3 linked regions of the Macaca mulatta genome follow. The protein of the gene in region 3 interacts with the protein of the main gene of each other region in a pairwise test. Links are inferred from orthologs where the notes say so. Each region holds a gene or a part of one and is shown on either strand. Other genes may lie near its edges. The genes, in order: CSNK1G2, ACTL8 and CERT1.

Region 1 (7,944 bases), on a different chromosome or scaffold from region 3:
GTTCCGGGGGACACACAGGCGGGAGGATGCTACACCTCCAACAGCCGGAGCGCGGGGTCCTCCCTGGATTCTCTGACTTCAGCTGAGAACCCAAAAGGTCCACAGCTTGGCACAGGGCTTCCTGGCCTTGGAGTCACTCATGTTTACCCTCGGCCCTGCCCCAGCAACACCGAAACCAACCCTGACAGAAACAAGGTGAGCCACAGGGACAAACGCAGCGCTCAAGCTGGGAGACCGCACCCTCCACACCTCATGGCACACACCACGGCCACACCCACTGAGGCTGTCCCACAGGTGAATGAAGGGGGTGTGACCGTGACAAGCGAGAAAGTCAGCAGCAGCACAGACGTCATTCCACACAGTGCTGTGTCTTTGATGCACCCCCCCAAGGGTCATGTGTTGGGAACTGGGTCCCCAATCCAGCACTGTTGGGGCTGGGTCACTGCCCTGGTGGATGGATGAATGCCATCAGCATGGGAGCGGGCTCCTGATTAAAGGGCAAATCCAGCCCCCTCCGGTCCTTGCCCTCCTGCCTTCCACCATGGGATGACACAGCAAGAAGGTCCTTGCCAGACGCCATCCTCAATCTGAAGACTGCCAGCCTCCAGAACACTGAGTCTGTCAATTTCTGTTCACTATAAATGACCCAGTCAGGCGCGGTGGCTCACACCTGTAATCCCAGCACTTTGGGAGGCTGAGGCAGGCGGATCACAAGGTCAGGAGTTCCAGACCAGCCTGGCCAACACAGTGAAACCCCATCTCTACTAAAAATACAAAAATTAGCTGGGAATGGTGGTGTGCGCCTGTAATCCCAGCTACTTGGGAGGCTGAGGCAGGAGAATCACTTGAACCCAGGAGGCGGAGGTTGTGGTGAGTCAAGATCGTACCACTGCACTCTAGCCTGGGCAACAGAGCAAGACTCCATCTCAAAAAAAATTTTAAAAGGCCGGGCGCGCTGGCTCAAGCCTGTAATCCCAGCACTTTGGGAGGCCGAGACGGGCGGATCACGAGGTCAGGAGATCGAGACCATCCTGGCTAATACGGTGAAACCCCGTCTCTACTAAAAATACAAAAAACTAGCCGGGCGAGGTGGTAGGCGCCTGTAGTCCCAGCTACTCGGGAGGCTGAGGCAGGAGAATGGCGTAAACCCGGAGGCAGAGCTTGCAGTGAGCTGAGATCCGGCCACTGCACTCCAGCCTGGGCGACAGAGCAAGAATCCATCTCAAAAAATAAATAAATAAATAAAATAAAAAAATTAAAAAAAAATGACCCAGTCTATGGTATTCTGTTATAGCAGCACAAAATGGACTAAGAAACAGCACAAACATGTTCAAAGATGTAAAGGAAAAGATGGCCAAAATCAATGTGCACATGGGAAATCTCAGCTGAGATCGAATGGAGAATCATACGGAACTGAAAAATGCCACTAAGCGATCAAAGATGCACCGCATGGACTTCCAGGGTTGGAGGCTGTAGAAAAAGAGTAAACTTACAGCAAGCAGCAGCAGCCGCACAGCCTGACACCAGGAGAATAGAGACTTAGGGAAAACAGCCAGGGCCGAGGGACCTGCAGACAGCGCCAAGCACTTGCGTCACACGCAGAACCAGAACCCAAGAATGAGAGCAAGGCTGGGCCAGTCCAAAACTTCCGGGGTCAGCCAGGCATGGTGGTTCACGCCTGTAATCCCAGCACTTTCAGAGGCCAAGGTAGGCGGATCACCTGAGGTCAGGAGTTTGAGACCAGCCTGGCCAACATGGTGAAACCCCGTCTCTACTAAAAAATACAAAAAATTAGTTGGGTGTGGTGGGGTGCACCTGTAATCCCAGCTACTTGGGAAGCTGAGGCAGGAGAATTGCTTGAACCTAGGAGGTGGAGGTTGCAGTGAGCTGAGATTGCGCCATTGCACTCCAGCCTGGGCAGAGCAAGACTCTGTCTCAAAAAAAAAAGCAGGCCAGGTGCAGTAGCTCACGTGTGTAACACCGCTTTCGGAGGCCAAGGCAGGTGGATCACCTGAGGTCAGGCGTTCGAGACCAGCCTGTCCAACATGGTGAAACCCCATGTCTACTAAAAATAGAAAAAATGGCCAGGCGCGTTGGCTCACGCCTGTAATCCCAGCACTTTGGGAGGCTGAGGCGGGCAGATCATGAGGTCAGGAGATCGAGACCATCCTGGCTAACACAGCAAAACCCCGTCTCTACTAAAAATACAAAAAATTAGCCGGGTGCGGTGGTGGGCACCTGTAGTCCCAGCTACTTGGGAGGCAGGAGAATGGCGTGAACCCGGGAGGCGGAGCTTGCAGTGAGCCAAGATCGCGCCACTGCACTCCAGCCTGGGCGACAGAGCAAGACTCCGTCTCAAAAAAAAAAAAAAAAAAAAGGCTGGCAAGCTGGCATCACCCATATGTCACTCTCACCTCTCACCTGCCTACGGGGACCTGCACTGTTCAGCGGCCTGCAACCACCGCTCAAGGACAGGACCCACACAGTCATCTGGGTCCCCAAAAGCCATATCCCGCAGGCTGCAGGTCACAGGGCTGTGCCAGGCGTGTGTGTGCAGATGTGCCTGTGTGCACATGGTTGTGGCTGTGCGTGCCTGTGTGCATGTGCTTTAGTGTGCACATGTACGTGTGTGGGCATGTGTGTACACATCTGCATGTGTCTGCACGTGTGTCTGAGTATGTGCGCACACACACAGGGTTGGGAGGCCACAGCTACCGTCGGGAAAAGCTCACTCTCTTGGCTGAGAAACGGAGCCCGGGGCCTCCCGAGCCACAGGCCATCAGACAGGCAGTGGCGCCCAAGCCCAGCCTCTGCGCAAAAGAGTGGAATCCCAGCAGCCTCCCCAAGGGCTGGGGTGGAATCTGGTTCGGGATGGGGTCTCAAACGGGCCTCCTGGGGCCCCGGGTGCAGCCAATGGGAACACTGAGGCAGCCAACAGTGACCCCGACAGCTGCGCTCGCCTGGGAGAAGCTGCTTGACTCAGGACACACACTTCTGCCACGTAACTGCCTGCTGAACCCACTTCTGAACAGTGGCAACTACCATTCATCCCTATTTAACAGGTGGGTAAACTGAGGCAGGTGGGAAGCGGGGTCACAAAACATGCCTGGGGTCCAGGTGGCTACAGCCCATGCTCCTGCACCCCTGGGCAGCCGCTCTTGAAGGTGCAACCACAACATACCCACTGCCTGGGCCTCAGTTTCCCTCATCTGACAACCTCATTGGGCCGAGGGGCCGGATTCCAGTACTGCCTGCCGTGGGTGCCCACGTGAGGCTGATCCACTGCCGTGGCCTCCCAGACCTGCCCATCCTGCGCCCTTTCCCAGAGACCCCGACTCCCACCACGACAGACATTGACCGGGGGTGCACTTGGGTCTTCCGGACAACCCCAGCAACAGACGCCAAATGCCCTCCCGCAGGAGCTCGGCGTTGGCCGTACACCCAGCAGCACCAGGAATGAATTTAGTATTTCTGGGGATGATCCGGCTCCCTGGCACAGCTAATCACGAACTGCCACTGGCCCCAAACGTGCTCAGAGCTCCCCCAGGCCTGGTGGTCATCTTCAGGCACCCCCACCCAAGGGAAGGCGCCCCTGGCCAGTAACAGGCTCAGTCCTCGGCCCTGCTCCTCACGCCTGCCCGGGCAATCAGATCGCGACCCGGGAGAGGTCAGTGTGAGCAGAAGGCATGGAGCCAGGTGGGCCTGGTGCGGCGTTTTACACGGTGAAGCTGGGAGTGGCACACAGCAGCGTCATCACCACAAAACAGTCACTCCAGTCACCCGACGCTGGCTCCGTGCTGGCGCCTGCGGTTAAGGCCAGGGCTTTGCCCAGCACGGACATGGGCTGTGGAAGTCATTCATGACTTAATACTCGGACTCCTTGCGGCATGGCCTGGCCTGCTCTGGGCCACCTGCCTCCCAACTGAATTGTTTCCCGAAAAGGTGACAGGGCCAGAAACCCACTGTCCCCATGGGGCTTCCTCGAAGGGAAGTGACACTCATACCACGATGGACAGATGATTCAACACATGCCAGTGACCCGGGGTGGCCTCGCCGGAGGCTCCGGTGACCCCGTGCGGCCCCGCCGGAGGATCCCGTGACCCGGGTGGCCCCACTGGAGGCTCTGGTGACCCCGTGCGGCCCCACTGGAGGCTCCGGTGACCCCGTGCGGCCCTGCCAGCAGCCTCCCACCCCATCAGCCACGAGCAGGGCCTCACCTAGGCGGAGCTCCCCGAAGTTGCCGCAGCCGATCTTCTTGCCGACGCGGAAGTTGGGGCCCACCATCAGGACCCCCGAGCTGGTCCCCGAGCTCCGGATGCCGTGGCTGCTCCGGCCCCCGCCGGCCTTGGACATTCTCCGGCCCTCCTCTGTCTCCCCTTTCCCTCCTTTCTTGTCAAAATCCATAAGTTTGTGATACCCTGGCCTCTCCACGGTGGCTCTGCTGCCGTGCAAATCCCAAGTCTCTGGAAACCTGAGGTCTTGGCTCCTCTGTGGCTAGAACATCACCGCGGCTGGCGGGCGGGCGTGGGCCCGCGGCTCCCGGCTACTGAGACGCAGGCACTGGGGCCGGCCAGGCCGCGGTGCTCATCTCAGTGGCCTTGGGGTGGCTCTCGGGGGCAGGAGACATTCTGTTGACAGGTCCCACCGCCTCAAAGCTCACGGCTCACAGCTGTGGAGAAACAGAGGCACAGGTGAGCGCCGGCGAGGACACGGGGCGGAGGCCACAGAGGACGCAGCCAGGGGGCTGCCGGGCTGGAAGGAGCTCTGAAGGCCGGGACACGACAAGCACTGCCCGTGCCCGGAACGCGGCTGGGAAGCACGTGCCACATGACATTAGAGGCCAGAGGTCTCGGCGTGGCTGCCTAGAGACTAACAGGGTAGGGCTCAGGGGCCTTTCTGTGAAGCAAGATGGGTGGGTGGGTGGCACAGGTGGGAGAACGTACTGCTGGGAGGGCATGCCTGCCCATCCCAGGGAGAGGCCCTGAGGATCCTGAAGCCAGGGGTCAGTCGCACCCCCAGACACAGAAGGGCCACACAACAGTCCCCATCTCCAGGCCCAGGGCTGCTCTGAGAAAGAGGGAGGGAGGCAGATGACAGCAGGCAGACCTGAGGCAGGGACACAGAAGCCACAGAGCTGCCCCTGCCCATGGCGGCCAGGGGACACTGAAAGTGGGGAGAGTGGACCGGAGGGCAGGAGGCCCCAGCGAGCCGTAAGCTGCTGCAGGAATCCCCACGGCCTGACCCAGGCTCGGGTCGTTCTCCAGCAGCCACTGGTGGAGCGGGGCAGGCTGGACACCACTCGGGGCTGTGACAATGCCAGGGTGGGTCCCACCCAGCCCCTTCGGTGCAGAGCGGAGCTGAGAAGGGTATGGCGGGGCCTGAGGGAGGCAGGTGAGGAGGGGCCACGGGTGCACAGCCATCGCCGAAAATGTTAGGACAGGAACTCCCAGCTGAATAAGCCACAACAGAAACAAAGGCACCAGCGTCACAAGCACTGCCCCACTGCACGTGGCAACCGTGTTCTGGTACGAGAAACACCCTGAGGTGATCGCAAGCGTGCCTTGGGGTTCCACGCGGCAATAGCCACTCAGATGTTTTCGTTTCCTGGTGCGCACAAAAGTTACGTTCACAGTGTACCACGGTATGCCGTGGTACACTGTGAACGGACACACTTTAATTAAGTGGGGCATGGTGCCGCAAGCCTGTGGTGCCAGCTAGTCGGGAGACTGAGGCGGCAGGATCGCTTGAGTCCAGGAGGCGGAGGCTGTAGGGAGCCATGATCATACCACTGCACTCCAGCCCGGGTGATACAGCGAGACCCCATCTTAACTAAATAAGAGAGAAATAAAAATACTTTACTGCTAAACAACGCTAACGATCGTCGGACTGTGAGTGCGCCCTAATCTCCCTGGAGGAGGGTCTTGCCTCGACGTGGACGCCGGCTGACTCATCGGGGCAGCGGCTGCCGGAGGCGAGGGCAACTTCTTAAACTATGACCACAAAAAAGTCGGCCGCAGCAACCGACTCTTCCTTTCATCAAAGATTTCTTTGTGGGGCGTGATGCTGTCTGATAGCATTTATCACCCACAGCAGAACGTCTTTCAAAACTGCAGTCGGTCCTCTCGACCCAGCCGCGGCTTCGTCAACTGAGGTTCCGAGCTATTCCAAGTCCTCTGTCCTCATTTCCACCAGGTTCACAGAACCTTCACTGGGACTACAGAGCAGCTGAAGCAACTCCCCTGCTCACCCTCAAGAGGCAACGCCTCGGCTGGGCGCGGTGGCTCACGCCTGGAATCCCAGCACTTCGGGAGGCCGAGGCGGGCAGATCACGAGGTCAGGAGATCGAGACCTGGCTGACCAACATGGTGAAACTCCGTCTCTACTAAAAATACAAAAAATTAGCCAGGTGCGGTGCCGGGCGCCTGTAGTCCCGGCTCTAGGGAGGCTGAGGCAGGAGAATGGCGTGAACCCGGGAGGTAGAGCTGGCAGGGAGCCGAGATCGCGCCACTGCACTCCAGCCTGGGTGACAGAGCAAGACTCCGTCTCAAAAAAAAAAGAGGCAACTCCTCACGTGTGAAAGTTTCTTGTGAGATGGCAGCACTGCAGTCACATCTCCAAGTTCCTCTCATTCTAGCTGTCTTCCTGCTTCTAAAACCTCTGCAGTTCCTCCTCCATGGAAGTCCTGAACCCTCACAGTGATCCTTCAGGCCTGGGATCAACTTCCTCCAAACTTCCACGAATCCTGCCATTTGACCTCCTCCCATGGATCACACGTGTCCTGCACGGTCTCTAGAATGGCAAATCCTTTCCGGGGGTTTCAATTTACTCAATTTCCCCAGCTCCATCAGAGTGATTGCTCTCCACGGCACCTACAAGCACCCAGAGTCTTACAAATGTATTTCTCAATAATGAGAGTTGTGGGCGGGTGCGGTGGCTACTGCCTGTAACCCCAATACTTTTGGAGGCTGACCCAAGTGGACTGCTTGAGGCCAGGAGTTCAAGACCAGCCTGGGCAAGCAACACAGGGAGACCCTATCTCTACAAAAATAAAATCAAAATTAGCCAGGCATGGTGGTGTACACCTGTAGTCCTAGCTACTTAGGAGACTGAGGTGAGAGAATCGCTTGGGCCTGGGAGGTAGAGGCTACAGTGAGCTGTGATTCTGCTTCTCCACTGCAGCCTGGGCGACACAGTGAGACCTTGCCTCAAAAACAGTGAGACTTGGCCGGGCACTGTGGCTCATGCCTGTAGTCCCAGCACTTTGGGAGGCTGAGGTGGGCAGACTGCTTTGAACTCAGGAGTTCAAGACCAGCCTGGGGAACATGGCGAAACCACCCCCCTACACAAAAATACAAAAATTAGCTGGGCGTGGTGGCACGTGCCTATAGCCCGAGCTACTTGGGAGGCTGAGGGAGGACAATTGCTTCAACCCGGGAGGCGGAGGATGCAGTGAGCCGAGATCATGCCACTGCACTCCAGCCTGGGTGACAGAGCGGCACCATGTCGTTCATAAATAAATGAATGGATGACATGTCAAGGAGTCATCCTGATTTCCAAGTCAATGAATGATTCATTGATCCACGGGCCACAGGCTGGATGTTGCGCTAGCAGGAATGGAAACACTGATTTTTTTTTTTTTTTTTTTTTGAGACAGAGTCTCGCTCTGTCGCCCAGGCTGAAGTGCAGTGGCATGGTCTCGGCTCACTGCAAGCTCCGCCTCCCGGGTTCCCGCCATTCTCCTGCCTCAGCCTCCTGAGTAGCTGGGACTACAGGCGCCCGCCACCGCGCCCGGCTAATTTTCTGTAGTTTTAGTAGAGACGGGGTTTCACCGTGTTAGCCAGGATGGTCTCGATCTCCTGACCTCGTGATCCGCCCGCCTCGGCCTCCCAAAGTGCTGGGATTACAGGCGTGAGCCACCACGCCCGGCCAGAAACACTGATCTTG
Region 2 (7,973 bases), on a different chromosome or scaffold from region 3:
TGGCTGCCACCACTGCGCATCTGCTCCATGCCAGCCCCATGCCAAGTACCCCTCATGCATTATCCCACTCAGTCCTGGCAACGATCCCATGCACGCCTGTGAAAAATCCATTTCACAGATTAGGAAAAAGGCGATGGGGCAAAGTCCCACACCGAGTCACCAGTTTGAGCTGCCACCCTCATCTGGGGAATTGAAGACTGGCATCTCCCCTCCTATTCACTCCTTCTAAGATCCACATCGAATTCATCAGTGTTACTTAAAACAAAACAGACCCACAAAACTTCCAGCAGCTCCTCGGCACCCTCTAGACCAAGTGAAAGCCCTGTGGTCTGGCCTTCCCAAAGGAACCCCATTCAAGGTATTTATCCAAGAGATACGAAAACGTATCACACAAAAAAGCCCGTCCACTCAAGAATACACGTCGTAGATTATTCATAATAGCCCCAAATTGGAAAACCGTGGACAAACTGTGGCCAGTGTGTACGACGGGCATCACTCTGCATCCTATCAGGAGGGGGAAGCTGGGCAGTCATTTGAATAGGTAAGTTTCATATAAAGGATTATTAACCATAATGGGAGATGGAATTAATAAGAAATTGGCTAGAAAGAAGGAAAGGGAACTCTGAAGAATATAGGTTTAGGAGACAAAAGGAGCAGCTGCTGCCCCCCAGGGCTGAAAGAGACCCTCAGAGGCAAGAGTCCCCCACCCCACCCAGTGCTGAGCTAGAGTATCATGCAAACGCAGCTTCTCCAGGGCTGACGTCCAGCCCTCAAGGAAGAGGCTTCTACTCCAGTGCTATGGCAGAGCCCCTGAATAACAGCTCCTCAACTTGGGCTGAGAAAATGCCCAAGGAGGAGCCTCCACCCAGAAACAAGCATCCTCCCACAAACACCCCTGAGGGCTGATATCCAGGCCTTGCTGAAGACGGTATGGCTGTGCCTCCCTACATAGGGGAAAAAAGAGTTGGTCTAGAGCACACCAGCAGAACTTGCAAGAAAGCCAACCTGTAGAACTTACCAGAAATCTGCCCCACAGGGTGCCACAAAAGCTGCTTACACGTGTCTCACCAGAGGCACCCACTACAAAACTGCCTAAAAGAAAGTGCTGCTGGCCTCTGCTGAGCAAAACAGCAGCCAGCACTGAGCAGCTGCACGTGCTGCAGGAGCAGGCCCTGTGAGCAGGGGGCAACCAGGAAGCAGAAGGTCCCTGCTGCAGAGGCTCCCCAGCGCCCTCTACTGGCAAAGCCCAGCTTGCTGCCTGGACAGGGAGAAAATTTAAAGGGCCCAGATCCATTTTCACCAGGCAGGCAAGAAGGGTGATTGGACACTGAAAAGCAGTAATTGATACCCAGAAAAGGCCATCTCTTTGACTACTTGCCTTCCATAGGAATCCTCCTGCACACCACTGAAGTCCCGTATAACAACACAACGGTGTATTTCTATCTAAGAAGATACAGTTATCATTCTTATAAGTTCTCACTCCCCAAAACAAGGAAACTAATAGGCCCAGGAGTCATCGTGGACTATATTTATTATGACTTAAATACCAATCACAGTTCCATGGAACATTCTGTCACCTAAATACTACAAAGTTGACTTCCAAAAACTTCCATATAAAACAAAAATGGGAAGAAGAGAGAAGAAAATGGATAATCACCAAGTGTGCTTACTTAACTGTTTATTCAGGAGCTCAGAAAATAACTTCAGGGTGGGCATGGACCAAGCAAATCTACTGTGAGTCAGACTAGAGCTAAGACTCTATCCCTGACCATCACAAGCCCCACTTTGACTTATGAACCAGAGTGGCATTTTAGATCCCCAGGAACCAGCATCAGTTCAGAGTGAGTGTCAAGTAACTCCAGAACTGTCTGGGTATGTCCATTTCCCCATTATTCTGGTAAATGGTCACAGGTCCCTTTGGAGGAAGGTTTGGAGGAAGATTTACAATAAGTATTTATGGCAGATGCAGGCTCCCTCCTCAAGGTGACCCGGCCACCCAGGGATTCTGGGTCTGTGAATTAACTCAGGGTCTGGAAACTGGATGAGAAGCCATGACTGTCGATTGCCATGTTTTGGCTACTGGGTCTAGAACTTTCTATCACATATAAAAATACATGAAATAATATTCTAGTAGGCTGCCCACTTATTTCATTCCCAGAAACACTCTGATCAATTCACCACCACTAAAAATCCCGATGGGCAAAGGCATTCTGCCAGCCCATACATTCCTGCTACCCTTTCCAGTGTGTGCCTACCTTGTCCTTGACAGTAAAGTGCTGCCCCTTGGTCTCTGCTACTTCAGGACCCCCTTATCCCCACTGAAATCAGGGAGCCCAACTCAATGGAGGCAGCCTCTATATTCACAGTGGCCTACAAAAGAGAGCAGCCGCCATGCATTTCAAGGACAAAGGGGCTCCCTCACTAATGGATCTCTCTATGTCTCTGTCTTTGGGTCCTTCTTGTGGAACATAGGTGGTGGCAGCAGGAGAGTGCAGATTAGACATGATACATGCAGTCCAACATTGCGGTCTCCCCGAGCCTTTGGATTCCCTCCTCCACATCATGACATCACAACCTTCATTAACTGCAGGTTACTGTCAAGTCCAAGTTTCAGTCAACCAACCAAGTTGCTAGAGCCACCTCCAGCTGCAGAAGCTAACAGCCAAATTCAGAACCTCTAATGAGTGTGCCCCTATTAAGGCATTCAGCCCAATCTAGGGTTACATTCTGCCTTTCTGGATCTAAAATCCTTAGAATCCACTCCCATGTGTGTCACCAGTCTTGTCATTCTTTTTCTGTTTCCTCCTAGGTCAGTCTGTACCCATCACCATGGAACATGCTGAGATTTGACCACAGCTAGGGTCTAGTGACAACAGCAGGTGGCTGTGGTGAGTCTTGAGAATGGGCATCGCCTTTCAAGACATCTGCCCCAGCCGAGATTATCACAGGGTTTCTTAACAGAGGAAGACCAGTCTCCTCATGCACTGAGGAGGGCAAGGTATTTCCACTTGATAAGCTGAGGGACGTGGTGGGCTCAGAGTGACTTGTAGTTTAGGTTGTTGGTTTCATCACAGTTCAACAAATGTCCCCACTCCATGTTTCAGGATCCCATTCTTTCACAATTCATGCCCTAATTTGTCCAGATGTGATTCCAACTGTTGTCATAATTCAGCAACCAGCACAATTAAATTTGTTGTTTGATTTTCGGCAGTATCAGCCCTGTGGCTGCAAGAAATAAGAACTTCCTTAAGGGCTGCCATAGAAGCTGTCTGATTCTCAGACTGTGGCTCAAGGAGAGAGTTAATGGACCTGGGCTTGTCATTTTCTATGTCATTATCTACACATTTGTCAAATTTTTATGATATTATTATTTTTTTAGAGATAGGGTCTTGCTCTGTCACCTGGCTAGAGTGCAGTGGTGCAATCGTAGCTTACTGCAGCCTCAAACCCCTGGGCTGAAGCAGTCTGCCTGCCTCAGCCTCCCAAAGTGTTGGGATTAAAGGCCTGAGCCACCATGCCTGTGCCCGGCCTGCCTATACATGTTTTAAATAGAGCATTGTATCTGGTTCCTCGAAGACAGAAGCCCTCAAAAGGATCCATCCCACTCCACAGTTCTCACAGTCCTCATTATGGTCACACAGTCAAGTGCAGCATCACTCTGGCTCCCAAGGGAAGTGCCTCAGGTGGCATTTTGTCTTAATCAACCACAAGGGATAGACTGATTAATTTTAATGTCACCACATGTCTTGAGTAACTAGCGCCCCATTTCCCATTGGCAAGGAACTTTTCACTCAAGCCCAAAATCACCAGAAAACCAATCCCCAAATGGTACCTCTGTGGGTCCATCTCCTGATACCTATTCCTGACACCAATTCTGTATCAGTTTGGGTACAGTTAAGGAAACTATACAGTGATTTTTATAGGGAAAGTTTCATATGAAGAATTATTAACTTATAACCGAGGACTGAATTAACAAGAAATTGACTATAAGGAGTAAAAAGAATGATAATTAATACAGAAGCAGCAGACACAAAGAGCGACCACAACCCACAGAGCTGAGATGGAGCCTCTGAGGACCAGACCCCACCCAGAGCTGTGATAACCCCCTGCTAAGAATCCCCCACACCAGAGCTGGATAAAGCCCTCAAGGAGGAACCCCTCAAGGCCAAGATAGAGTCCCCAAGAAAGAGCCCTTGGGGGCTTTCATAGGTTCCCCAAAGATGAGTCCCCCACCAGAGGTTAAAAAAAAGTTCCCAAGAAGAGGCCCCCAAGGCTGAGCCACAGCTCCTGGGAAGAACCCCTATTCAAGGGATAAGGTAGAGCCCCAAAGATGAGTTCCCAGAGCTACCAAGGAAGGGCCCCCCGCCTGGCCACCCAGGGCTGTCATTGATCCCCCAAGGAAGAGTTCCCTCCCAGGGCTGAAATAAAGTCCACAAGGAAAAAACCCCTGAGGGCTGTAGTAGAGTCCCCAAGAAACACCCTCCTGCCCCTGTGGCAGAGACAATGTCCTCAAAAAAAAAAAGCCCTCCCAGGGTTGAGGAACAGCCCCCCACCCCAGGACTGAAATAGAGCCCCAAAAAGAGACCCTGACATAGAGATAGCAACCCAAAAAGAGCCCTTTACCCCAGGGAAGGGGTCTTCCACCAGGTTAAGATAAACCCCTTCAGGAGGTGCCCCAACAAGAGGCTAAGCTAGGACCCCCAAGGAAGGACCCTCAGCCCCACACATGTGGCTGAGGTACAGCCGCTATGGAAGAGTCTCCTCCAAAAGCTGAAATCTAGGTAGAGCCTGTCACCGCCCCCTGCCCCCCACAAAGAAGTGTCCCACACACACACCCTTGGGGGCTGACATCCAGGCCTTGCTTAAGAGGGCATATCTGTGCCATGGGAAGAAAAAAAAAAAAACAGGGGCCACAGCCAGCCAAAGTTATTAGAAATTCAACCTGTAGAACTCACCAGAAATCTGCCCTGTAAGATGCCACAAAAGCTGCTCTCAGAAGCAGTGTCTCACAAGAGGCACTCACTGCAAAACTACTCAAAAACGCTGCTGTGGGAGCTGCCGACCTCCCCCGTGCACTGCGAGCGCCAGCACTAGCGGCTGCACGTGGTGCCGGAGCCTACCCTGTGAGCACGTGGCAACCAGGAAGTGGAACCTCCCCGCTGCTAGGGCTCCCCAGCGCCCTCTACTGGCAAAGCCCAGCATGCCCGCTGGCCAGGGAGAACATTTAAAGGGCCCAGATCCATTTTCACCAAGCAGGCAAGAAGGGTGAATGTGGAGCAGAGAGGCAATAATTTGATAACCAGCAACAGTGAAATATCAGCAGTGAAAAAGAAAATAACTACTGACACATAAAACAACATGCATTAATCATATACATATTATGCTGAGTAAAAGAAACCAGACACAAAGCAGCACAATCTGTAAGTTTCCACTTATATGATGCACAAGTTATCTGAAAAGGAATTTGGAGGAAAGAGACTTTAGTACAGAAAACAGTTTGCAAACTTGGAGATGCACCCTCCACTGGAAAATGAAGGGGAGTTCCTAAGAATGAGGGAAAGGATCAGGTTTTACAGCAAAAGTTCCTGCCCAGGTTCCCAATCAGATCAAGTAGTGCCAATGAAGGATTGAAACTTGCTTAGTTCTGATTGGTCAATACAGCTGAGCTCTGATTGGTTGATACAGCCAGGCCCTGATTGGTTGATATACTTGAGCCCTGATTGGTTGGTTCAGGTAAGCTGGGAAAGTACCAAAGATAAAAAGGTACCGGTTTTCGGGAGAAATCAGGGTACTTATGTGAACCCTAGTCAGCAAGTGGCTGCTTCACTCTATTTTAAATTTAGGCCCACTTAGCCATTCTGATTTGGGGGCGGGGGGTAGTATTTATTTCTTTTGTAGAGAACAGGGTCTTGCTATGTTGCCCAGTCTGGTCTTAAACTCAGGGGCTCAAGTGATCCCACCACCTTGGCCTCCGGAAGTGCTGGGATTACAGGCAAGAACCACGGAGCCTGGCCCACTTAGCCACTCAGGATCCATCTTGAAGATCTGGCACTTTCAGGTTCACATTTGTTCACAATATGAAGTTCAAGAACAGGCAAAGCAACCTACAGTGACAAAAATTTAAAAAAAAAAAATACAGGTGGAGATGGGTTTATTTTGCTGGAAGGGGGCACAATAGAATTTTCTAGGGCAATGGAAGTACTCTCTATTGCAATTGGGGTGCTGTATATATTTGTGAAAATTCATACTGAACACTAAGATCTGTGTGTTGCATTGCAGATAAATTATACCTCAGTTTTTTAAAATTAGCCCCCAAACTTGATTTCAAATCCAGTCACTGTGTACTACCTGTACGCAGTGGGTGATATGGTTTGGCTTTGTGTCCCCACCCAAATCTCACATTGAATTTTAATAATCCGCAAGTGTCCAGGATGGGGCCAGGTGGAGATCATTGAATCATGGGGACTGTTTCCCCCATAGTGCTCTCATGATCATAAGTCTCATGAGATCTGATGGTTTTACAAATGGGAGTTCCCCTGCACAAGCTTTTTGCCTTCTGCCATGTAAGACATGACTTTCCTTTGCCTTCCAACTTGATTGTGAGGCCTCCCCAGCCGTGTGGAACTGAGTCCATTAAACGTCTTTCCTTTATAAATTACACAGCTCTGAGTATGTCTTTATTAGCAGCATGAGAACAGGCTAACACAGTGGGTAAACAAATATTCTTGAATAAATAAATGCACACATGAATCACACATTCTTTTTGCTCTTCTCACATCAAATTTCTGATGTTTCCCCCAAATTACTAATCTATTGGCCTGCTTTTCTGGGCTCCCATAGTCCTCTCCTCTTAGTCCAGTTGCAGTTTTTATTACACTAATGTTAGCTTCAGAGAGGCAAAAATCTCTGGTTCTACCAGAGAACCCAGCATGTCTTGAGTGCTCTGTGCCTGACGCTCTTTTCGGAACTCTCATATGACAATAATCTATGTGGTAATTACTCCTCTCGTCCCCATTTTACAGATGAAGAAACTGAAGTATAGTTTGTCCCAGGGCCCACACTCTTTATCACTTTGTCTTAGAAGTCAGACCGTCCTAGGTTCAAATCTCAGCTCTTCCACTTACTAACCATGGGTCTTGGGCAGGGCAACTGATTGATGCAGGGCAGGCAAGCCCCAAAGCAGAGCTTGGCCCATGAGGGTTCTTGGCTTCCTCCAGGAAAACATTCAAGGGTGAGAAGAAAGGGTAGAAGAAAGCAGAATTTTATTTAAGGGCCAGTGTTACAGCTCCAGCCTTTGACTGCTCCTGCAGAGCAGGGCTACCCATAGGCAGAGCAGCAGCTCAGGGCAGTCTCAGTCATATTTATACCCATGTTTAATTACATGGAGATTAAGTGATGGTTTATACAGTAATTGCTAGGAAAGGGGTAGTAACTTTTGGGTTGTGAGATCATTGCCATGGAAAGGGGTGGTAACTCCTGCATGTTGCCATGGCAATGGTAAACTGACATGGCCTACTGGTGGATGTGCCTTATAGAAAGCTGCTTTGCCCCGTCTGTTTTAGCTAGTCCTCCATTTGGTCCAGTGTCCAAGCCCCACATCCGGAGTCAAGACCTGCCTCCCACCTCATGATCACTCTGAATCTTGCTCTACTCATCTTTGAAATGGGGATAATAATATTTTCTTCTTGGGTTGTCTTGAGGTACAAATGAGCTTATCCACATAGAACTTTTAGCAGCGTCCACCGCAGAACAACCACTTACTCTCGGTAAATGACAAATTTCATCCGTTCTAAGACACACATTTTCACATTTTCACATCCTTGAAATCAAAATGTGTCTTACAACCGATGGATCTCATAATCTCCTTGGACAGTGACAGTTGTGACAGTCGTCATTGTCTCTGCAAGAGCAAACCTGGTTCCAGCTGTTCCCATTGTTGACACTTCCATGCCTCAGCATCAAATAGCTCTTTC
Region 3 (7,981 bases):
GCTAAAGTCTTGCTGCACAGTGAACATCACAATAAACTGGAAAAGGGAGAAATGTAACCTTTACAGGACTACTTATTTTTGCATGTTTTTATCTATGCTCTGGGGTTTTAAGTATAGAAAAATCTCAAAACTATCTGCCAATTCCAAAAACTAATTAAAAATGGATTGCCAAAATATACTGCATTGGCTCAGGCTCTATATCCACTGAGAAATCTTTTTCTATTCTCTAATTAAGCATTTTTGAGATTTATTCAGTTCTTAAATTTTCTTTTATTTTGTATTTTTTTGAGACAGGGTCTCACTCTGTCACTCAGGATGGAGTGCAGTGGCACCATCTCAGCTCACTGCAACCTCCCGGGCTCAATCTTCCTTCCTCCTCTTCCCAAGTGATTGAGACTACAGGTGCGTGCCCCCACGTCTGGCTAACTTTTTGTAGTGATGAGGTTTCACTATGGTGCCAAGGCTGGTTTCAAACTCCTGGGCTCAAGGATCTGTTTTCCTTGGTCTCCCAAAGTGCTGGGACTACAGGTGAGCCACCATCCCTAGCCAGTTCTTAATTTTTCTAAGCCCCATCATTACAACCCCTCTCTGAGAACTCATCCAAGCTGACAATTTAACTCATTCTAGTGGCTCCTAATCACCACTTCCTTATTTCTAACCGCTTGTGATGTACCACCACTTAGACAAAGGGTTGAAATAAATGATAGTTACCAACAAAACTGAATTTACTTCTATAAGGTGTACTTCCTTCCTATTTTCCTACTTCTTCTTTCCTGCTACTTCTGCTCAGAGTCTGTGTATTAGATATACAAACAGATTAGTGTATACAGGATTAAACAGGCTCAACTACTCTACAACTCACGTGAAGAGAGTTTTGACAAGTTACTTTTGTAAGCTTCAGTTTCTTTGCCTGTTGATTGATGGCTGAATAAAATAATGAAAATGCCTAGCATAGTCACAGAAGATACTCCTAAGTGTTCCTTCTCAATATTTATAGCCCATCACCAAAACCTGCTTATCTTTCCTTCATAGTAAACCCTTAAATTTGCCTCCTCTTCTCATTTTCAACTATTCCAATCAAATTACCCAGTTCCTGTATTCCTTACAGGACTTAATCTTTTCTCTAGTATCTTCTGTGTTTTTCATAATTTACACAAGCTTATTTACTTACTAAGCATGTTTGCTTACTTTTCTTACATGTTGACCGTATTGAGTCTCCAGCTCCAAAACTTACATGGACAACTTCCCACTGACTGTCATACAAATTGTTTAGGGCATTCAAGACCCACCATGGATTAATCTTACCTCATTTATAATTACCACACTTCATAAGGCTAAATTTTGTGATAGTGGTCAAGTTACTTACTCTGTGTTCTTTTCTTTGTCAAACTCTGTCTCTCAGAGTTAAGTTTAAACAAGAATAGACTTAGAACAGTGCCTGGACATAGTATTTTCTGAATCTGAGGAAGAGTTATACATGGCTAATGAAGCTTAACCTTCAGCATTTCTCACTAGAACAGAACTCTTTCAATATTAGAGAAGGGACCCCAGCAATTATGTATCCGTAATTCAATATTATGTTCTTGTAAGAGGCTGAACAAACTATATCAGCTTCAGGACTCTTTTCTCAGTAAGCTGTTAGCTGTTATTATGACACCTGGAAGACAAGTTTTTTGTCTTTTCTCTGCTCTCATAATGTTCCCTCACTCTTCCCCATTTAACAAATACAGACAAGGCAATATGCTAGACATTGCAGGAGAACTGAATGTTACTGTGGCAAACAGGCCAGCAAACACAAACACAAGAGAAAAAAATATATATTTAGAATAAAACAAAATGCTATGGGAATTCAAGTGAAGGAGGTCTTGAATGATGGCAAAATACAAAAAGGCTTTACGGAAAGGACAGTATTTGACTTGGACTCTTAAGGATGGATAGAATTTCAAACAGTTTAGTGTGTGCAAAAACAGAAGGTAAACCATGAAGGATGGAGGAAATTCAGAAATTGAATGAGATTATTTTATCCAGCCTTAGTTGCTCTCAAGTCCTACTAAGGCATGCATCTTTTCCCCACCATGATCCATCACGATACTTGTTATAACCAGACAGAATTATTGTCTATCAAGTATTTTTGGAATCTATACACTTAAGTGATTTATAAGAAATATGCTTCATAGGTATTTCCATATATTTCAGATTACCATATGGAAAATACCCTTTGAACTGGTATATTTCTAATATAAATTTACCCAAGCCCATTCCAAATCCACCCCATTTTGGGGGACAAACGAAACAAATTGTACCGGGACTTATTTACATTATTCAATGGAAGGAAAAGAACAAAAGCCGAGTTCTGATCCTTGTTTAAATTACCAGGTGAATATGAAGAATTCAAAATATATAATTTACATTTAAAAACATGCACCATACTCAGTATGAGTATATATATTCAATTTAGAATACCCTTGATTAAAAAGTTTCCAGAAAACACTGTATATAACCATAAATTGGTAAATCTCAGGAAAATTTCCTTCATAGCTATTAGCAAGAATACCAAAAGCTGTATTCCTATTCATTCTACATAAGAAGCAACAGTCAAAATTTAAGTTATTCACCTTCCACAGAGGTGATCAAATGCATTTGTATGCATTTAAATATCGAGATTGGTCTTCCATTTTTTGATCTATAGTATACCTACTCCACATAAAGTAAAACTCAGAGCACTGGTGACTTTTTCCCCCAGTCACTCCATTCCCCCAACCCCCAAAAAAGTAATTATCAGTAGGTCAAAATTACAATTTGTTTTGTAAAATACTCAACACATCACATTACTAATATGGCAGTCAGCTTCCCATCTTATGAGCAGTGATGAAACTATCAAAATCACTGAGAAGCAAGTAACCCACTTCCTATTATCAACTGAAAATGTGTACCTACTACACAATGTGTTCAATAGAGATTCCTAAATTACAGGATACATTTAATGTAAAGAAATCCTGAGGAGCTTCTCGTTACTGAAAACCTTGCATTGAAATTTCAAGAATGATCACAGCATCAATATACAACTAATTTTTCGGCTATACAAATAAAAGTCAACACTTGCAATCCTTAGTTCTGACTACTCATGCCTTTTCTAGTTCCCTTCTCATTAGCTTTCTACAGACATTATAAAAGCATTATATTAAACAATTCCACAAATAATGTCCAAGTGATGTGCCAAAGTATGAATACTGGAAACAGGGTGATTTCTTAATAGCCAGTAGCTGCACATGACATAGTATCTTATGACCAGCTTGTTGAGGGACTGGCCCAGCTCCCCCTCTCCAAGTTAACTGCTAGCTCCAGCCATTTCTAAAAAAGTTTAACAGGAAGGGGGAGAGAAGTCCAAAAGGCTATGTGAATCTTCTTATAGCAAAAACTTAAAAAAAAAAAAAATCCCAACCACGTAATATCAAGAGATCACCCATCTGCAGTTCTATAATGGCTGCTTTCCTAAAATTTTGATACACGGATTTTAAAAAATACATAAAAGGTAAAACATCTTTTCCTTACCCTGGACCCCTTACCGCAAAAAGAGTTTATTATTAAATAATGCTCTTCTTCCTGGACTAAAGATCAGTCTCCTTTCTCACATGTTTCAAGTTACTATGAATATTTCCTGTACCCATCACGTGCCGATTCAATATCTCTATTCTGAACTAAGGTACAGGGTGAGGGAGAAAGTCCTCCACATTAATCTGTCTCACTACATCTAACCTGGCGAGTTCAACACCTCAAATTTCAACACCAAGCTGAGTCGCTCCGGCTTCTGTCGAAACAGCTGCGTCCGCAGTGCCCCCCAACCTACTCGGCTTAGCATCCTCAGACAGACCAACCTCTTTTAAGAGGTCCGACTTGAACCGCTCCCGTGCCCAGTCGTTCGGACACCGCTGAAGCCCAACCCGGATTCCTTACACCCGGGACAGCTGCCGCCCTAGGTCCCAAGGCACGGCACGCATCTGGTCTCCCAAACTGGATCCCCGGTTGATACACCCTTTCCCTGGTCCTCGGCTGCCCCCGACGAGCCCTCGGGCAGCAAGGACAGGCCCCCTATATCCCCGCCTCATCCCTAGTCGCCGCAGCAGTACTCAGCCTCGCACCCCGGCACGTTCCGCGCCTCCCGCCAGCCCCACCCCACCGCCTCAGCGGATTGCCTCGCGGCAGGTGAGTCTGGCCAGGGGTCCCCTGGCACCACCGGTTGCTCACCTTACTGAGGACCCCGCAGCGCTCCACAGGCGGCCCAGATTCCGTCTCTGGATCCTCCTCCGAGCCCGACGAGTTCCAGCTCTGATTATCCGACATGGAGGCGCGACAGCCGAGCAGGAGACCGGCCCCCGCTCCCTCAACTGCGCCGGAGGAGGCGCCCAGTCCTCGGGGTGAAGGGTCGGGGGATGGCGAAGCGAAGAGTGCCAGCTCCGCTGTGGGGGGGAGCAGGAGGAGGGACGAAGTCCGCTCGCCGCGCCGCCGCCGCGCCTGACACCGAGCGGAGCGGGGAAGGAGGACGAGCGGTGAAGGAAGCCTACCCTTCCAGCCGTCAGCCGCCGCCGCCGTCGCCGGGACCCCTGCGTTGCGCCCGGTGCTGCCACCCGAGCTTAGCCCCCTCGATGCCAATTTCAAATAGCGAAGGAAAAGGGAGAAGAAGGGAAGAGAAAATCCGGCCGCTGAGACCCGAGTACACTCACACCTCCGCTACCGCCGCCATCTTGCTGCCTGGCCCACTATTTACCCTCCCCTCCCCTGTCCTTTCCCCTCCCCTTCGTCCTCCCATTCTCCCCTCCTCCTCCCCGCCCCGTCCCCCTCCCGGCGTCTGACGCGACACGCCAAGCGTGCGGGATCCTCCTCCCGCACCCTACCTCCGGCTCTCCCGGATGACGAGGGGTAGAAAAGTAGGAGGAGCGCAGTAAGGAGAGGGCGGGATAGGGATGCCGCTGTGCTGCATTCTGGGAAGGGCGTTGGTTCGTCGCTCGCCCAGCCTCCTGGGAGTTGTAGTCGCGATCCTGAGGTAACGGGTGAGTATCCCGCGCGGGGATCGCTTGTCGCCTTGGGGACTTGTCAGTCGGTGGGTGGGCTTCGTTTGACAGTTGCGTGACCTGCCTCTTGGCCTCGCTTCTATCCTTGCCTTGTGTGTTTATGACGAACCCTCCGGGCTTGCGGGCCAGGACGTGAGAGAGCTTTCTGCTGAAGATGACGGGCCTGCGTTGCAGGGCTGCTTGTCGAAAGCCCGGGAGCGCGTAGCCGCTTCCGCCTCAACCACGGGATGGGGTTTTGTGAGCTCCTAGTGCCAAGGGGGTTTTCTTTCCACCAGACCACCGCTGTAAATCTCGAGGGTCTTACCCATTAGAAGTTAGAATTCACATTTGACGTTTAAAGGAAGAATTTCCTTAGTACCTTCTGACAAGCACGCACTTCGCATTTTTAGATTTCTAGAATTTTCTTTGTGGAAAGTAATTTTGAGGTTGTCAGAGAATAAATAACGTTAGAAAGGTTTTTAAAGTAAAACAAGAATGTCAGATGATAGCCTGGGATTTTCTCTTAGTTGTAAATGAATATCTTACTGAGAACCACGTTAACCATGCCTGCCCCTCAAAGATAGGAAAGTTTGGATATATAGAAACTTTCTCGTATTAGAAATACGAGATTAGGGGATTAGGCAATAGGTGGCTATTTTTAAGACTAGGGTTGAATTAGCAGAAAGACCAAAAGAAGATCTAACAGCTCTTGTCAGTTGTCAAGGATAACTTTGATGGTGAGACCTTTGACTTTGTAGCTTCAGTAATTTCCTCTCGTTAGCTATTTTAATATAGTCGAGTTCCTGATAATTGCCAAGAGTAAAATTTGTTATTAAGCCTTAGAAAGAATACCTTTTTTACTACAAGGATGGGACAATAGGAGCGAAATTTCGAGTCTAAGGGAAAACGCTAGCCGAGTGCCGTGGCTCACGCCTGTAATCCCAGCACTTTGGGAGGCCGAGTTGGGCGGATCACCTGAGGCCGGGAGTTTGAGACCACCCCGTCTCTACTAAAAATACAAAGATTAGCCGAGCAGGGTGGCGGGTGCCTGTAATTCCAGCTCTTTATATCCTGGTTTCAAATCTAGGCTTGATGACCTTTTCCCATATCCCAGTTTCCTATTTTTTACTTCCTCAATGGGGGATTAATTACGATTCTAAATGTTTGGTAGCATGAAGCTAGGTTATCTCTATCGTGGCAGTGGATATTTAAGTAGGCATTGCCAATATGTATCTTGCTTTCTTTTACTTCCTTTTCTGACCATCCACACTCCATTTATATTGATGAATTCTTTTACTAATGTCAATTATTACTGTATTATGCTCATACTGCCATGTCTTATTCTGCAGCTTTGATCCTTAAGGTGACTTAGCATATCTGTCTAAGACTCCTTTATCTGTTGATTTTTACCATTTAAGGTTCCAAAGGCAGCTGTATTTTTGGAAAAGTGGGAGGGAAGAGGTAGATGGGGGTACTCATTGATACCTTAATGCACTTCACAGCTACTTGAGAATATGTCAGATCCCACAAAAAGTTCTAACATTCGAGAATAAGACAGTGATTTCAGAAATGGAATTTCAAAGGGTGTGTAGGCCACCCTTTTTATTCTGTTTCCTGTTGTACAAATGAGAGCCAGGCGAGGAATGTTTCAAGGAGAAATATTCTTACTATTCAATGAAATTGAAAAATATATTCCCTTATCTTTTACTCATATCTGTTTGGTTTATGGGATAAAAACTTGTTAGGGTAGTTGGTATTTCATAGGCTTCACTATAACATTGAAAAACCTTTTAGTCTAAAAATCACACAGTACAGTACACTGATGAACAGTATTAGTGCCCACTCTTGGCATGTACACATGTTCTTTCTTTCGTTTTTATTTTGCTTAGCTTTTGAATTGCTTTTCCTGTTAGATTGAGAAATTATTTTATTAATATTTTAAAGGCATACTATATAAAGCAGTGTGGTGGTATCTTATGTATCAGTAGAATCCTCATGATAGTTATTTTGTAAACGTGTTTTGCTTCTTGTTTTTTTCTAACCCTTTTATTGTTTCACTTCTATAATTTCAAATCTTTTTCTTCTTAGTCAAATAAGTTGAAAAAATATTTCTATAGAGCATACATGTTGCTATGGTGATAGCTTATGAAAATATAGTTTATCCCTGTTTAAGATCTTTATTAAGATCTTGCTATATGATCATCTGAGATACTATAAAAGTAAAATATAAACCATTTCTGTAGAGTCATTGTTTTCTAGCATTTTACTGTCTAGGTATTCTGACAATAATTATGTGTAGAAAGTGAATAAAGATTTTAAATTGCCTGTGACGTAGGAGGTTTTCAGTAAATAATAACCGATGAATGAAATAAGTTTAGCCTGGTTGATAATTGAAGGGAAGTTGTAGGAACTGCCATTAACAGGGCCCAAGAAAAAAATCACTAACGTGATTAAAATCAGTCAGAGACCAAAGAATCAAATAACATCATAGCTTTTTGTAAGTAGCAAGTGTCATTTGCTAAAGGCCTACAAAATGTCAAACATTGTTTTAGGTTCATTTGATTTATTCACTCGTCACAAAAATCCTGCAAGGTAGACATTATTCTTATTTTACACATGAGGAAATTAACATTCAAAGAAGTTAAGTAAATTGCCCAGATCATCGCTAGTGAATAGTCTAGTCCAGGCTTTGGACCTTAGACGCTTGTAATACATAACTTTTAATACGTATAGAATTGATTTTAGATTGTCACTCAGGCATAATGGTACATACCTGTAGTCCTAGCTGCTCAGGGTGCTGAGGCGACAGGCTAGCTTGACCCCAGAGGTTTGAGGCTATAGTGAGCTGTGATCGTGCTAGTGTACTCCAGTGTAGGTGACAAAGTGAGACCCTGTCTCAAAAAAAAAAAAAAAAAAATTCCAAAACACTATTA

What was found.
Region 1: the proteins of CERT1 (region 3) and CSNK1G2 interact in binary tests that used the Homo sapiens proteins (3 or more experiments, as listed by UniProt). The two-hybrid records come from large-scale screens. The link is inferred for Macaca mulatta from reciprocal best matches to the Homo sapiens genes CERT1 and CSNK1G2.
Region 2: the proteins of CERT1 (region 3) and ACTL8 interact in binary tests that used the Homo sapiens proteins (3 or more experiments, as listed by UniProt). The two-hybrid records come from large-scale screens. The link is inferred for Macaca mulatta from reciprocal best matches to the Homo sapiens genes CERT1 and ACTL8.

Annotation. Positions count from the first base shown.
Region 1 is NC_133424.1:2,686,479-2,694,422, reverse strand, and holds the start of CSNK1G2 (casein kinase I), read right to left. Parts: upstream 4,650-7,944; 5' UTR 4,405-4,649; coding exon 4,218-4,404; exon of another isoform or gene 4,217-4,217; intron 1-4,216. Other genes in the region: uncharacterized protein LOC144336971, read right to left, coding at 4,650-4,669. UniProt on the Homo sapiens protein: Serine/threonine-protein kinase. Casein kinases are operationally defined by their preferential utilization of acidic proteins such as caseins as substrates. It can phosphorylate a large number of proteins. Participates in Wnt signaling.
Region 2 is NC_133406.1:223,237,355-223,245,327, forward strand, and holds the start of ACTL8 (actin-like protein 8), read right to left. Parts: upstream 5,126-7,973; 5' UTR 4,956-5,125; intron 1-4,955.
Region 3 is NC_133411.1:81,910,146-81,918,126, forward strand, and holds the start of CERT1 (ceramide transfer protein), read right to left. Parts: upstream 4,764-7,981; 5' UTR 4,342-4,763; coding exon 4,246-4,341; intron 1-4,245. UniProt on the Homo sapiens protein: Shelters ceramides and diacylglycerol lipids inside its START domain and mediates the intracellular trafficking of ceramides and diacylglycerol lipids in a non-vesicular manner.